Linked DNA regions of Caenorhabditis elegans. The protein of the gene in region 1 interacts with the protein of each later gene in a biochemical or structural test. Each region holds a gene or a part of one and is shown on either strand. Other genes may lie near its edges. The genes, in order: F41H10.3 and prmt-1.

What was found.
Region 2: of the proteins of F41H10.3 (region 1) and prmt-1, one has a biochemical effect on the other in vitro, tested with the Caenorhabditis elegans proteins (one study listed by BioGRID).

Annotation. Positions count from the first base shown.
Region 1 is NC_003282.8:5,368,022-5,375,451, forward strand, and holds F41H10.3 (RNA-directed RNA polymerase), read left to right. Parts: upstream 1-1,784; coding exon 1,785-1,970; intron 1,971-2,029; coding exon 2,030-2,083; intron 2,084-2,129; coding exon 2,130-2,210; intron 2,211-2,259; coding exon 2,260-2,409; intron 2,410-2,462; coding exon 2,463-2,765; intron 2,766-2,814; coding exon 2,815-2,953; intron 2,954-3,375; coding exon 3,376-3,941; intron 3,942-4,002; coding exon 4,003-4,546; intron 4,547-4,652; coding exon 4,653-5,141; intron 5,142-5,191; coding exon 5,192-5,470; intron 5,471-5,645; coding exon 5,646-6,126; intron 6,127-6,225; coding exon 6,226-6,388; 3' UTR 6,389-6,664; downstream 6,665-7,430. Other genes in the region: sand-1 (Vacuolar fusion protein MON1 homolog), read left to right, coding at 1-376, 428-701; elo-5 (Long chain fatty acid elongase 5), read right to left, coding at 6,677-6,767, 6,817-7,143.
Region 2 is NC_003283.11:20,266,877-20,271,679, reverse strand, and holds prmt-1 (Protein arginine N-methyltransferase 1), read left to right. Parts: upstream 1-1,968; 5' UTR 1,969-1,975; coding exon 1,976-2,245; intron 2,246-2,299; coding exon 2,300-2,920; intron 2,921-3,923; coding exon 3,924-4,079; 3' UTR 4,080-4,303; downstream 4,304-4,803. Other genes in the region: cdkr-3 (CDK5RAP3 protein homolog), read right to left, coding at 1,335-1,466, 1,518-1,563; mdt-17 (Mediator of RNA polymerase II transcription subunit 17), read left to right, coding at 4,451-4,729. UniProt on the Caenorhabditis elegans protein: Arginine methyltransferase that methylates (mono and asymmetric dimethylation) the guanidino nitrogens of arginyl residues present in target proteins.

The DNA.
Region 1 (7,430 bases):
TTGTCATCAACCTTGTCTCTGATAATACTCTACAAACAGACTCCCAGAATTGGGTTCCAATCTGTCTGCCACGGTTCAATGACACAGGATTTTTCTACGCCTACATATCGTATCCATGGTGCAATAAAGAGCAAGATATTCCTGTGTGCATTGTGCTTCTTTCGGTGAAACGAGATCATTTCGATGGGCTCAAGGAAGTTCGACAACAAATTGTGACGAAGTTGGAAAATAATCAAAAGTTCTTTGTTAACTTTGCACAGGCGATGAAGACGCCGAATCTTTATCAAATATCACAAATCGGATCGAATTCCGAATCGCTTTGGTCGTTTTTGTATTTAAATCATTCTTCAAAGCAAGTCTGTATGTCAGCCTCAAAGTGAGTTAGCCTCTAAATGTTCCATTAATTATATGCGCTCTATTATTTCAGAATTCCCCTAATAACACGTGACGAACGATGGATTGCTCGTTCAGAAATGCGTCGATCTTCATCATTATCATCTCTCCATCCACATCTTCGAACTCTTTTCGTACGTGGCACCAAACATTGTCTTTTTGTTTGGGTCACTGATCTCTTTTCACTTTACTGCATATTCGGACCATTTGTCACCGCAACAATCGCATTCCAAGTCGTCGAAAAGCTTCTGAAATCGCTGAAATCTCACGAACAACGATATTTTATCATTAATTCAACATCCTTTTAATTTTCAACTGTTTGTAAAAATTGTGATACTTAAAACGTTTACGTGTTTTCTAACCACAGATTTTAATTTGCCAATATATTTTTACTGCCCTTCAAATTGCCAAAAAAGATCAAGTAGAAATTAATAAAGCGAACCTCTCATTCATTACTGTTTACAGCAAGTGTAATACGTCTTAAATGACGTCCTATGATCTAATGTACTTATTAAACAAAGTTATTGGAAAGAATAGGGAAAAGTATCGATTAAAACGTACACATTTCGAATTGATGTTGGGGGAAGCGGAGTGTGTTTGAAGGAGTCTCGCTCGTCTCTATATCTCTGCACTCTCCGCTTCTCACACACTCTTTCGCCGTCATTTCGGCCGTGTCCCCCACTTCGTCGGTTTATTCTACCCGCCTTCTCCTTCACCATCGCTTTTTCCTCGTCCACCAACACGCGCTCTTTGAATTTCTAGCTGATGGCTATGGCAACCAGAAACCTGTGACATTTTAGTTTTGCATGAAAACTTTTTGATTTTCAAACGAAATTTGTTTTCAATGAAGAGAAACGCATAGTATTTTGAAAACTTCCATTTTTCAACGCCTGCCCATTTTTTTAAAATTTGGTTCAACTTTAAAATAGTTTAAAGTTTTTTTTTAAATTTAAGCTCGAGCTTTTTCTCCTCAATTTGTCGCAATTTTTTAATTGTAAAAACAATTTTTTTTTGTAATTAGCTAAACTTATTCCTATAAAAATCCTGAAACGCCGCTTGCACTTTCACTATACGAATAACTCTTTATATTATGTTTTTGATGGGTATTAGAACAATTTAAAAGCACCCTTTCACACATAACAAAAGATTTCTGGGCACGAAAAAAAACAAATTAGCATGGATTTCTATCTGAAAACGCCTGAAAATCGATTTTTTCTGCTATTAGTCCAATGGAGCGCACTTCCTGACCCCATCATTTTTTGTATTTTTTCGAATTTCCCATCGTTTTTAGGCCAAATTTTTTGTATTAATAATCTTAATTTCTAGTTTTCTTTGCTTTTATCTTTTCTTCAAGTCATTTCAATCCTCATATCACTATTTTCAGCTCAAAAATGTCGTACCGCGTGTTTTCACGCGTCGATCCCCATGTGCCATCGACATCCACAGCTCCACAGCGTCGTTTTCAAGAAAACTTGCAAAAATTCAAGCGATTTTTTCCGCCAAACGCACCACCAACACTCTGGGAAGTTTGCTCCTCGAAACAACGCAGCAAATCATTGAAAAACACGTTTCAAACGGTAAGTTGATCAGAAAAAAAAACTGAAGGAACGAAAATCAATCATGTCGAAGCTTGCAGGAAGTACGTGCACTACGAGGACTTAATTTTACAGTATTGCTGAATCCGTACAAAGTAAGTTTTAAGAAATTCCACAAAAGAACCATAAATTTTTGTTCAGAACTATCTCAATGATCTCACAAATCTATCCGGTTTCACCTTCGATGATCTTTGTCAAGCACTTCGATTCTTTGCATTTTATGTGAGTTTTGAGTTTTAAAAAAAATCAGACGAATATTGAAATGTTTCAGAGAAAACAGCCAGTTTTGAAGTCAAATATGGAAGATGCTAACGAATTATTTCGATTAATTGCAAGTTGCATCATTTATTCAAATGATAACTGGAGGGCGTCCATCGATAAATCAACACTAGTGGATACGCTGTCAATGAACATTTTGGAGGTAAAGAAAATGCAAAATATTCCTTCAGAATACAATAAATTCATAATTTTCAGAAGCAGAGGCTTAAGAATCTGAAACAAGAATCATCTGAACAAAAAGATCCAATATACCCACCACTATTCCAAGATGATGAGCTACCTTCTGTTCCAATACAAATTGGCAGATTGAAAGACAGAGAAAAAGTACCAATTCCTCCGCCTCCTTGTAGAAATGATTTTTCGATGCGACAATTTAATCCGTTGGAAGATGAACATTTACGATCAATGCACCTGTGGAATCATGTTGGGTGTAATGATGCAAAATTCAATGGGCCATTTGAGAGAACTATCAAAATGATGTCTAAGAATAATGTTGCGGTTTGTTTAACATTGAATTTATTTTTAAAATAATAATGATAAATTTTAGATTCGCTCCAAAGATCGACGATTGAGCGATGTGGAATATTACGGAGACAATGAAGATTTACCATCCACACATATCAGTTTTAGATTAGATTCTGTGATGCAATTGATTAACTTTGATTTCCCCAAAATTGAAGATGATGGTGAGTACCACTTTTTCCGTTTTTTTTTTAAGAGAAAAGTCAATTTAAATTAATTTTTCAATAAAAACGAGCTGAAAATTGATGAAAAAACAGGTAAAATAAAACCGTGCGGCAACATTGCGAAAACGCGTGCCGCGGAAAGGCAACTCCGCGGCGCGCGCTTCCGCAACCCGCCGCATAGTTTTTTTGCATATTGTTCATCTCATTTTTTATAATAAATTTTCAATTTTTGTTGATTTTATCAAGCTTACCTATCAAAATCTTGAAAAATAATATTTAGAATGGCTATATTACTTAAATCCGAAGAAATTTCGTGAGAAACAATTGAAATTAAGATGCGTTGCGATTTATTTCAAAAAATATCTGAATTTATGCCAAATATTTGAAAAATCTCCCAAAAGACCTGAAAATTTTGATTTCAGGATATTTCTCCAAAGAATGTCTGGATAGTGCATGGTATCTCTACGAGAATTATCAAACTGCTCTTCATGAATGCACAACTGCTTTCGCAGTTATCCGACCTCCATCTGGACGTACAATCAAGCCGGGATTCGTTGAAGATGGCCTAACTACAGACGAATGTTCAGAATTTCATATGATGGGACGACATATTCATGGATTTTTCCAAGTATGGAGGGAAGAGGATCGTGGATGGAGAGAATCAAATGGAAAATGGGTCCCACGGCGATATTTGGTGGATATCTACAATCATATTATGTTTCCATTATTCGTAAAATGGGAACTTTGGCCGTCAACATTGAAATGGGCTTTTGATAAGTACAGCTTGTATGGATTAAGACTAATGTCAATGATTAGAAGACATCCACAAGAATTGTTGAATGCTGGAGAGAACTTATTTTCGAGGTATCCATCGCATTTGTTGGAATCGAATAGATATGATATGAGCACTACGAAAGGACGGAATCAGTATTTATCAGCAATTCAAATGGAGAATAATCGAGTTGTGGACAAGCATATGCACAGTTCGGTAGGTTTTTTTTCGACGAGAAATTATATACATGACAATGAATTAAAATATAAATTTTCAGGCTTACAAGCTTCTTATCGAAGAGGACGGAAGAAGGAGAAAGAGGAAACCGAAGGATGAAGCTCTACTCGGAGTTGCTGCAAAAGTACGAACACCTCGAAAAGTTCTTGAGCCACCTCTATTTGCTCCAACTCGATTTATTTCTTCATCAACTCCAAAACAACGCGCCCTGCTTGTTCAAAAAGAGAATTTGGAGAAAACAATGATTAATCAAGTGCCACCAGTTGTAAATACACCACCATCCCCACAACAGACTGCTTCACAACTCAAAAAGACGCCAACTTCGGCTACAAAACGTCATTTACCGGAAATTGAGCAAGAATTGAAGTCGGAATCTGTCCCAGCTCCACCACCAACCAAGAAAATGTCAATTATAGCTGACAGTTGGGATGATCATGTTGGTAATTCGATGGAAGAAGAACATGTAGATGAGAAGGATTCGGAGAAAATGGAAGATTCAGAAGGAAGACAGAATGTTTGGGTTCCACAGGATCGAGGAAAAGAATATGCACCTGAACAATATGCGCGAGATATTATCGAACATTGTAAGTTTTGACGAAAATCCGTTACTCGGTCCCAATTTTTTTAAATTTTCCTCAGAAAAAAATTTAATAATATTTTCCAAAGGTATTTTCTAAAATAATTTCCCAGCCGAACTTTCAGATATTCCTGCTGCTCGAGATCATCCACCTCAACCACAACAACCACCACCTCCACTACCAACGCCGAAGCCTCCACGAAGACGGAAATCCGGTCAGAAAACTGATCAAACGACTCCATCATCAGACGCCGAAGCTTCATCCGATCCTGCACCGCCTGTTCCTGCTGCTCCAGTGGCTCCTGTTGTTCCAATTGTTCCAATTGTTCCAGTTCATCCTGTACCTTTGCCAAACGGAAGTGTAAATACTCCAAAAGTGAAGACGATTGCAAAGACAACAGCACGAGTACTGTATTCCATTAAACCTCAAATACCACCAATTGCGAACAAAACTGTGTATCCTGTCAAGAAGTTGACACCTTCTGTAGTTCCGTCTCCAATGATTTTAAATGGAAATACTGCAACTGCAAGTCCATCGAAAAATGCAGCATCTGTAGTTGTCAGAAATGCATATACATTTTCATTACAGCAAAAAGCTCCATGTTAGTTTTTGTTAAACAAATATGCGAACCTGCTTGAAATTATTTTTCAGATTATCCAGCTGGAATGCGTCCGAAACCAACTCAAAATGGAATTGAAACACCTCCGACAGGAGCACAATCTTTAATGCGTGCAGCCTTCTATAGTGAGAGTCATCCTACACGAAGTCCCCTCGTCCCGTATGGTTTTGTTCCTCCAGTTGCCACATCATCTACTTTTGTACCTGCTGCAACAATACCATCACCTGCTAGCCGAGCAATAGCTCATCAGAAGCAAATGCTCTTAAATACGGAAACGTGTCGACGCGTTATGCCGTTTAATATTCAAATGGGTGAGTATTATGGATTTAAAAGAAAATTGAGCTCAAGGAAAAACTTGTAGGTTATCCAAATTTGTTTGCTTCTCTATCTCTATCTCTCTCTCTCTCTCACCTTTAAAAAAAATTTCCATAATTTCTCAATTTCTGAGTGTTGTGTCGTGGTGCTCATTAAATCCGTCCATTTCAGCATTCAAACCACGTCGTTGGGATCCTCTTCCGAAATCTTCTGGTGTTTTGGCTCATTCAAATTCAACAATACCATATGTTCAGCGAGTCCCCAACAACTCAACACAATCAGACTTTCGGCCGAGAAGCTTCAGTCAAAATAGTGTTGCTTCCCCGGCTCCTGCTCCTGTTCCAAATGCAATAAAGAGAAGAGAAGTAGGGAATTTAAAATCTCGGCAGTATGTGCCATGGATCGCAAATAGCAGGGCGTTGGTGGCAGCGGCGATGGCAACGATGGAGGAGACGGCTGAAAAGATGTCTTCGAGCCCGTTACTATCGTCACAGGCTCCGATGACAACTTTGATGCCAACTCCTCCTCCTCCGGCTCCGGCTCCTGCTCAAGCATCTGCACAATCAACATCAGCAACTCCAGCATTGGTGGATACAATATCGGCTGGTTCAACGACTACAGAAACAACTACAGGCGATTCAAATCAGTCAAAGTGAGTTTTTGAATTTTTTAATGAAAAAATATGCAGACTGGTTCGAAATAATTTTCAAAAAATTGGCATCCTTACCTTTTTCAAACCAAATATTTTCAGTCCTCCTTTACGGACGTACACATCACACATTCGAAAAACTCCTGGAACAACACTGACACCTGAAGAAATCGGCGACGCGATTCGAACTGAAAGTCAAAGATTTCAAGAGGATGGTGATGAAGGGCCAACAGTGAAAAGCTTCCTAATGAACATCTACAAATGATGGGATTTTTCTTTCATTATTGATTTATTGTTAATTATTTATTCCCCACTCCCTTTAAAAACTAATTTTTGTATCACTGTTATAACTCCGGTGTATATTTGTTTCCTCTTCCATCCCGTGTTCTTCCACTATTCTCTCATACTTATGATCTTCAGTTTATTTCGACTCTTTCTTGGTATTTCACTATTACGGCTTCCATTTTATTGTGTTGTTTTCTTTTATTATTATCATTCATATGTTATCAGCATATTTAAATAAATGTGCATTTAAATTAAAGTCCCGTCTTAGTTAGTTAGCCTTCTTTGTTTGAGTTTTTGCCTGATCCTTTGCCAAATTGTACTTTTTGCCTCCATTCTTAAGATAGTGCTCTTTGTAGAATCTGAAATTCACTTTATAATTTCTTTCAGTTTTTTAATGCTCAAACTTACTGAATCCATAGATAGAAGTAGGTAGTAAGCATGAAAAATCCGATAGCTGTTCCTCTGAACGAGTAGGCTAATCCTTCAACTCCCTCAACATAGTGTTTATAGGAAACATGAACTTGTGCGAAAATGGCAACTGCGAATTGAACCATTTGAGATGTGGTGATTGCTTGAGCAACTGATGGTGGAATTGGAACTTTCAGAGATTTCAGAAGATAGTATCCATACATGAATGCATGAATAATATAATTCATCCATACAACCCAAACCATATGGACAGCATCCTCATGGTAGCAGACAAGAGCATAGTAACCGGTCAATGCGTGATGGTACCTGGAATTAATTGGAATTATAGATGGGACAATACCTTTTTGAATTTCAGCGAAAATTAATAGGAACTTCAAGTTCTTAGCTCATTCATTTGAACTCTGAGAAGAAATTCCGAGTTTGTGTATTGCGGGAACACAAAAGTCTAAAAATGCGTACTGATCAACATATCTGACGCGCAAAATATCTCGTAGCGAAAACTACAGTAGTACCAGTAATTCTTTAAATGACTAAATACCATACGTGTTCATTTACGAGGCTCTTTTACTAGTGATGCCTAATGAGCTTTTCGA
Region 2 (4,803 bases), on another chromosome or scaffold:
ATCAGGTTTTTGCAGAAAAAAAGTTTGGCGCTGCTAATTCAATTTGGGGCGCTGCTAACACTACAAACTACAAGTTTTGGGCGCTGCTAATTCAATTTTGGGCGCTGCTAACACTACAAACTACAAGTTTTGGGCGCTGCTAATCCGGATTTCGAGCTGTTAATGGGAATTTTATCGAAATTTCTGCATTTTTTTCGTAAATTTCGGCACGAAAACTAAATTATAGTCGGTTTTCGCCGCAAAAATCACAATTTTATATGTTTTTCTGACTGTTTTTGGTGCAAAACTGAATTTTTGGCAATTTTTAAATTAAAAATTGAATAAAAATCGATTTTTTGAAGATTTTTACGGCAAAAATAGCATTGTAATGCATTTTCCTAACTAAATTTGGCGAAAAATAATTCAAAAAAATGTTATTTTATCAGGTTTTTGCAGAAAAAAAGTTTGGCGCTGCTAATTCAATTTTGGGCGCTGCTAACACTATAAACTACAAGTTTTGGGCGCTGCTAATCCAGATTTCGAGCTGTTAATGGGAATTTTATCGAAATTTCTGCATTTTTTTCGTAAATTTCGGCACGAAAACTAAATTATAGTCGGTTTTCACCGCAAAAATCACAATTTTATATGTTTTTCTGACTTTTTTGGGTGAAAAACTGAATTTTTGGCAATTTTTAGATTAAAAATTGAATAATTACGGCTTTTTTGACAGAAAAATTTATTATTTTTTCTATTTTAATGATTTTTCTCGCTAAATTTGGCGAAAAACGACTAAAAACTGTAATTTAATTGGATTTTTCTCAAAAAAATGGTTTGGCGCTGCTAACATTACAAACTACAAGTTTTGGGCGCTGCTAATTCAATTTTGGGCGCTGCTAAAACTACAAACTACAAGATTTGGGCGCTGCTAATTCAATTTTGGGCGCTGCTAAGACTACAAACTACAAGTTTTGGGCGCTGCTAATTCAATTTTGGGCGCTGCTAAAACTACAAACTACAAGATTTGGGCGCTGCTAATTCAATTTTGGGCGCTGCTAAAACTACAAACTACAAGATTTGGGCGCTGCTAATCCGGATTTCGAGCTGTTAATGGGACTGTTATTGAATTTTTTGCATTTTTCCGTAAATTTAAAAAGTAAAGGTAAAGGTTGTCCGTTTGGTTCAAGGGTGAGCCTAAGCCTCCTGCGGACAAGAGAGATTTTATTCGTTTTTCTGACTGTTTTTGGTGAAAAACTATTTTTTTTAATCAGATTTTTTGCAAAAAAAACTTGGTAGTCGAGCCTTTTTGTAGTTTTTTAACAATTTTTTGGTCTTTTTTGGGCAAAAAACCAACTAACACGCTCCTTGCAGCAGCTCCACGATTTTCGGCGACTCCGGCATGTCCAAAATGGCATGTTTGATCTTTTCTCGAATCGCCACCACGCTTTTTTGCCAATCTTTGTTGCAATGACGACGGGAAACCAGCCAATCTAAAGTTTTTGCGGTGTTTTTTGGGTTAAAATTAATGGATAACGAGTTACCAAGCAATTTACTGCTGTGAATATCGATTGGCAAGTCGTCTGACATGATTTTTTATCTGAAAAATTAAAATTTTAACTTAAAATTCAATTTTAAATTCAGAAATCTCCCAAAAAAAGAAGAAAATTTCGATGGAAAAATACACGTCAGCCACTGCGTAAATCGACACAAATTTAAAGGCGCATGCGGTTTCGTGTGTGTTGGGTCTCGCAACGCCCGCATTTTTAGGTGTTGATTTGAAATGAGTTTTCCTTTTTTTTTCGTCTTTTTCACTCGAATTTCATGATTTTCAGTTGATTTTCAATTGATTTTTTGGTTTTTTTTGCTGAAAATTAATTATTTTTTGATTAAAAAGCTTTTCGAACAAGAAAATACATGAATTTTGGCCCTAAAAGTGGATTTCAGAGCATGTGGATCTCACATTAATTAATTTAATAATTAACCTTTTTCCAGCGGGACAATGAGTACCGAAAACGGGAAGTCCGCAGATGCGCCGGTGGCGGCACCGGCTGCAAAAGAGTTGACCAGCAAGGACTACTACTTCGACTCGTACGCTCACTTCGGTATCCACGAGGAGATGCTCAAGGACGAGGTGCGAACCACCACCTACCGGAACTCGATCTATCATAACTCGCACTTGTTCAAAGACAAAGTTGTGATGGATGTTGGCTCGGGAACTGGAATTCTTTCCATGTTCGCCGCCAAGGCTGGAGCGAAGAAGGTTTTCGCGGTGAGTTTTTTTTGGATTTTTTGAACGGTTTTTAAAAATTTCCTTTTCCTTCAGATGGAATTCTCCAACATGGCGCTCACCTCCCGCAAAATAATCGCCGACAACAACCTGGACCACATCGTCGAGGTGATTCAGGCGAAGGTAGAGGACGTTCACGAGTTGCCAGGAGGCATTGAGAAGGTCGATATCATCATTTCCGAGTGGATGGGATACTGCTTGTTCTACGAGTCGATGCTCAACACTGTGCTCGTCGCCCGCGATAGATGGTTGGCTCCGAATGGAATGTTGTTCCCGGACAAGGCTCGTCTCTACGTCTGTGCTATCGAGGATCGTCAGTACAAGGAGGACAAGATCCACTGGTGGGATTCAGTCTACGGATTCAACATGTCCGCTATCAAGAACGTCGCGATCAAGGAGCCACTCGTCGATATCGTCGACAACGCTCAGGTCAACACCAACAATTGTCTGCTGAAGGACGTTGATTTGTACACCGTTAAAATCGAGGATCTCACGTTCAAATCGGACTTTAAGCTGAGATGCACTCGCAGCGACTATATTCAAGCTTTCGTCACCTTCTTCACCGTCGAGTTCTCCAAGTGCCACAAGAAAACCGGATTCTCGACTGGGCCAGATGTACAGTACACTCATTGGAAGCAGACCGTCTTTTATCTTAAAGTATGCGCTTAAAAATAACTTTTTTTCGGGTTAAATACCATTTTTCAACAGTTTTTCACCAAATTTAGTCAGTAAATGGTAAAAACTTCGATTTTTGGGCTGAAAATCGACCTTTTCACAGTTTTTGAAACAAAATTCGCCAAAAAATTAAGAAAACATGAATTAGCAGCCCCCAAAACTCGTAGTTTGTAGCTTAGCGGCGCCCAAAACTCGTAGTTTGTAGTTTAGCAGCGCCCAAATCTTGTAGTTTGTAGCTTAGCAGCGCCCAAAACTCGTAGTTTGTAGTCTAGCAGCGCCCACAATCGTAGTTTGTAGCTTAGCAGCGCCCAAATCTTGTAGTTTGTAGCTTAGCAGCGCCCAAAGCTCGTAGTTTGTAGCTTAGCAGCGCGCAAAACTCGTAGTTTGTAGTTTAGCAGCGCCCAAATCTTGTAGTTTGTAGCTTAGAAGCGCCCAAAACTCGTAGTTTGTAGTCTAGCAGCGCCCACAATCGTAGTTTGTAGCTTAGCAGCGCCCAAAATTAAATTAGCAGCGCCCAAATCTTGTAGTTTGTAGTCTAGCAGCGCCCAAAATCGTAGTTTGTAGCTTAGCAGCGCCCAAAACTAGTAGTTTGTAGTTTAGCAGCTCCCAAAAGCGAATTAGCAGCGCCCAAAAGCTTGTAGTTTGTAGTTTAGCAGCGCCCAAATCTTGTAATTTTGTAGTTTAGCAGCGCCCAAAACTAGTAGTTTGTAGTAGTCTTAAGTATTAAATTTGTGTTTTTTTAAAGATTTTTGCACGAATTTTGCACTTTTCTATCGATTTTTCGAGTAAAAACCGGATTTTCTGACTGAAACCGGGGTTTTTAGGCAAAAAGTTGTATTTTTCACTAATTTTCGTTAGCTAGAAAAACCCAGTTTTGTTTTAATAAAAAAGAAAAAAAATTGCAATTTTCACATCATCTTTGACTTCAAATTCGACACTTTCGATTCAAATTTTATTTTTTTTTTCAATTTTTCGATTTTTTCAGGACGCGCTCACAGTAAAGAAAGGCGAGGAAATAACCGGATCATTCGAGATGGCACCAAACAAGAACAACGAACGTGACTTGGATATCAACATTTCGTTCGATTTCAAGGGAGAAGTGTGTGATCTCAACGAGCAGAACACCTACACCATGCACTAATTTTTGCTGTTTTTTTTTTCGTCTTTTTTCTCACACTTTTTTGCCCCCAATTTTTACACTTTGTTGATCCCCCGTTGTTCCCCCCGAAACCTCCCGATTTCCGCAGATACTCGATTGTATATACCTCGATGCGGGTTGTTGTCGCGCACCTCCTCTATCCGCGCGCACGCTCACTCTGCTCGGTACTCCATTTGTTGACCTTTTTCCATAAAAAAAAATCTGCCAAAATTCAAGTTTTTTGCAATTTTTAAGCGATTTTATAATTTATAGGTTACGCAGCCTTTAGATATATTTTTAATATTCAATCAATAGTGAGCAGCGCCAAAAGAAAAACCGAAAAATTATTTTTAAAAAAGTTTAGCACAAAAAAAATGGAAGACGGCGATGAAGTGGTGGAGCCTATCGAGCCGGAATCCGAAGACATTGTGAATCTCACAAAACGACTAGGAGTGGATCTCGTGCTGGAATCCAATGATGACTGGAAAATCCAGGAAATCGGATTTGACGGTGTGGAGAGGTACCTGCAGCCCGAGACGTTCACTGATCATGTTGGAAAATTGGCTCGGAAGGTGGAATGGACGAAGCTAGTGGGCACAAAATCGCCTTATGAAAATTCGAAGGTTGATCCCGAAGATGAACTCGATGATGAGGTAGAAGCCGGCGAAAATCAAGAAAAATCGAATAATTTTCGGGAAAAAGTCAGAAAATCATCGATTTTCAGGCT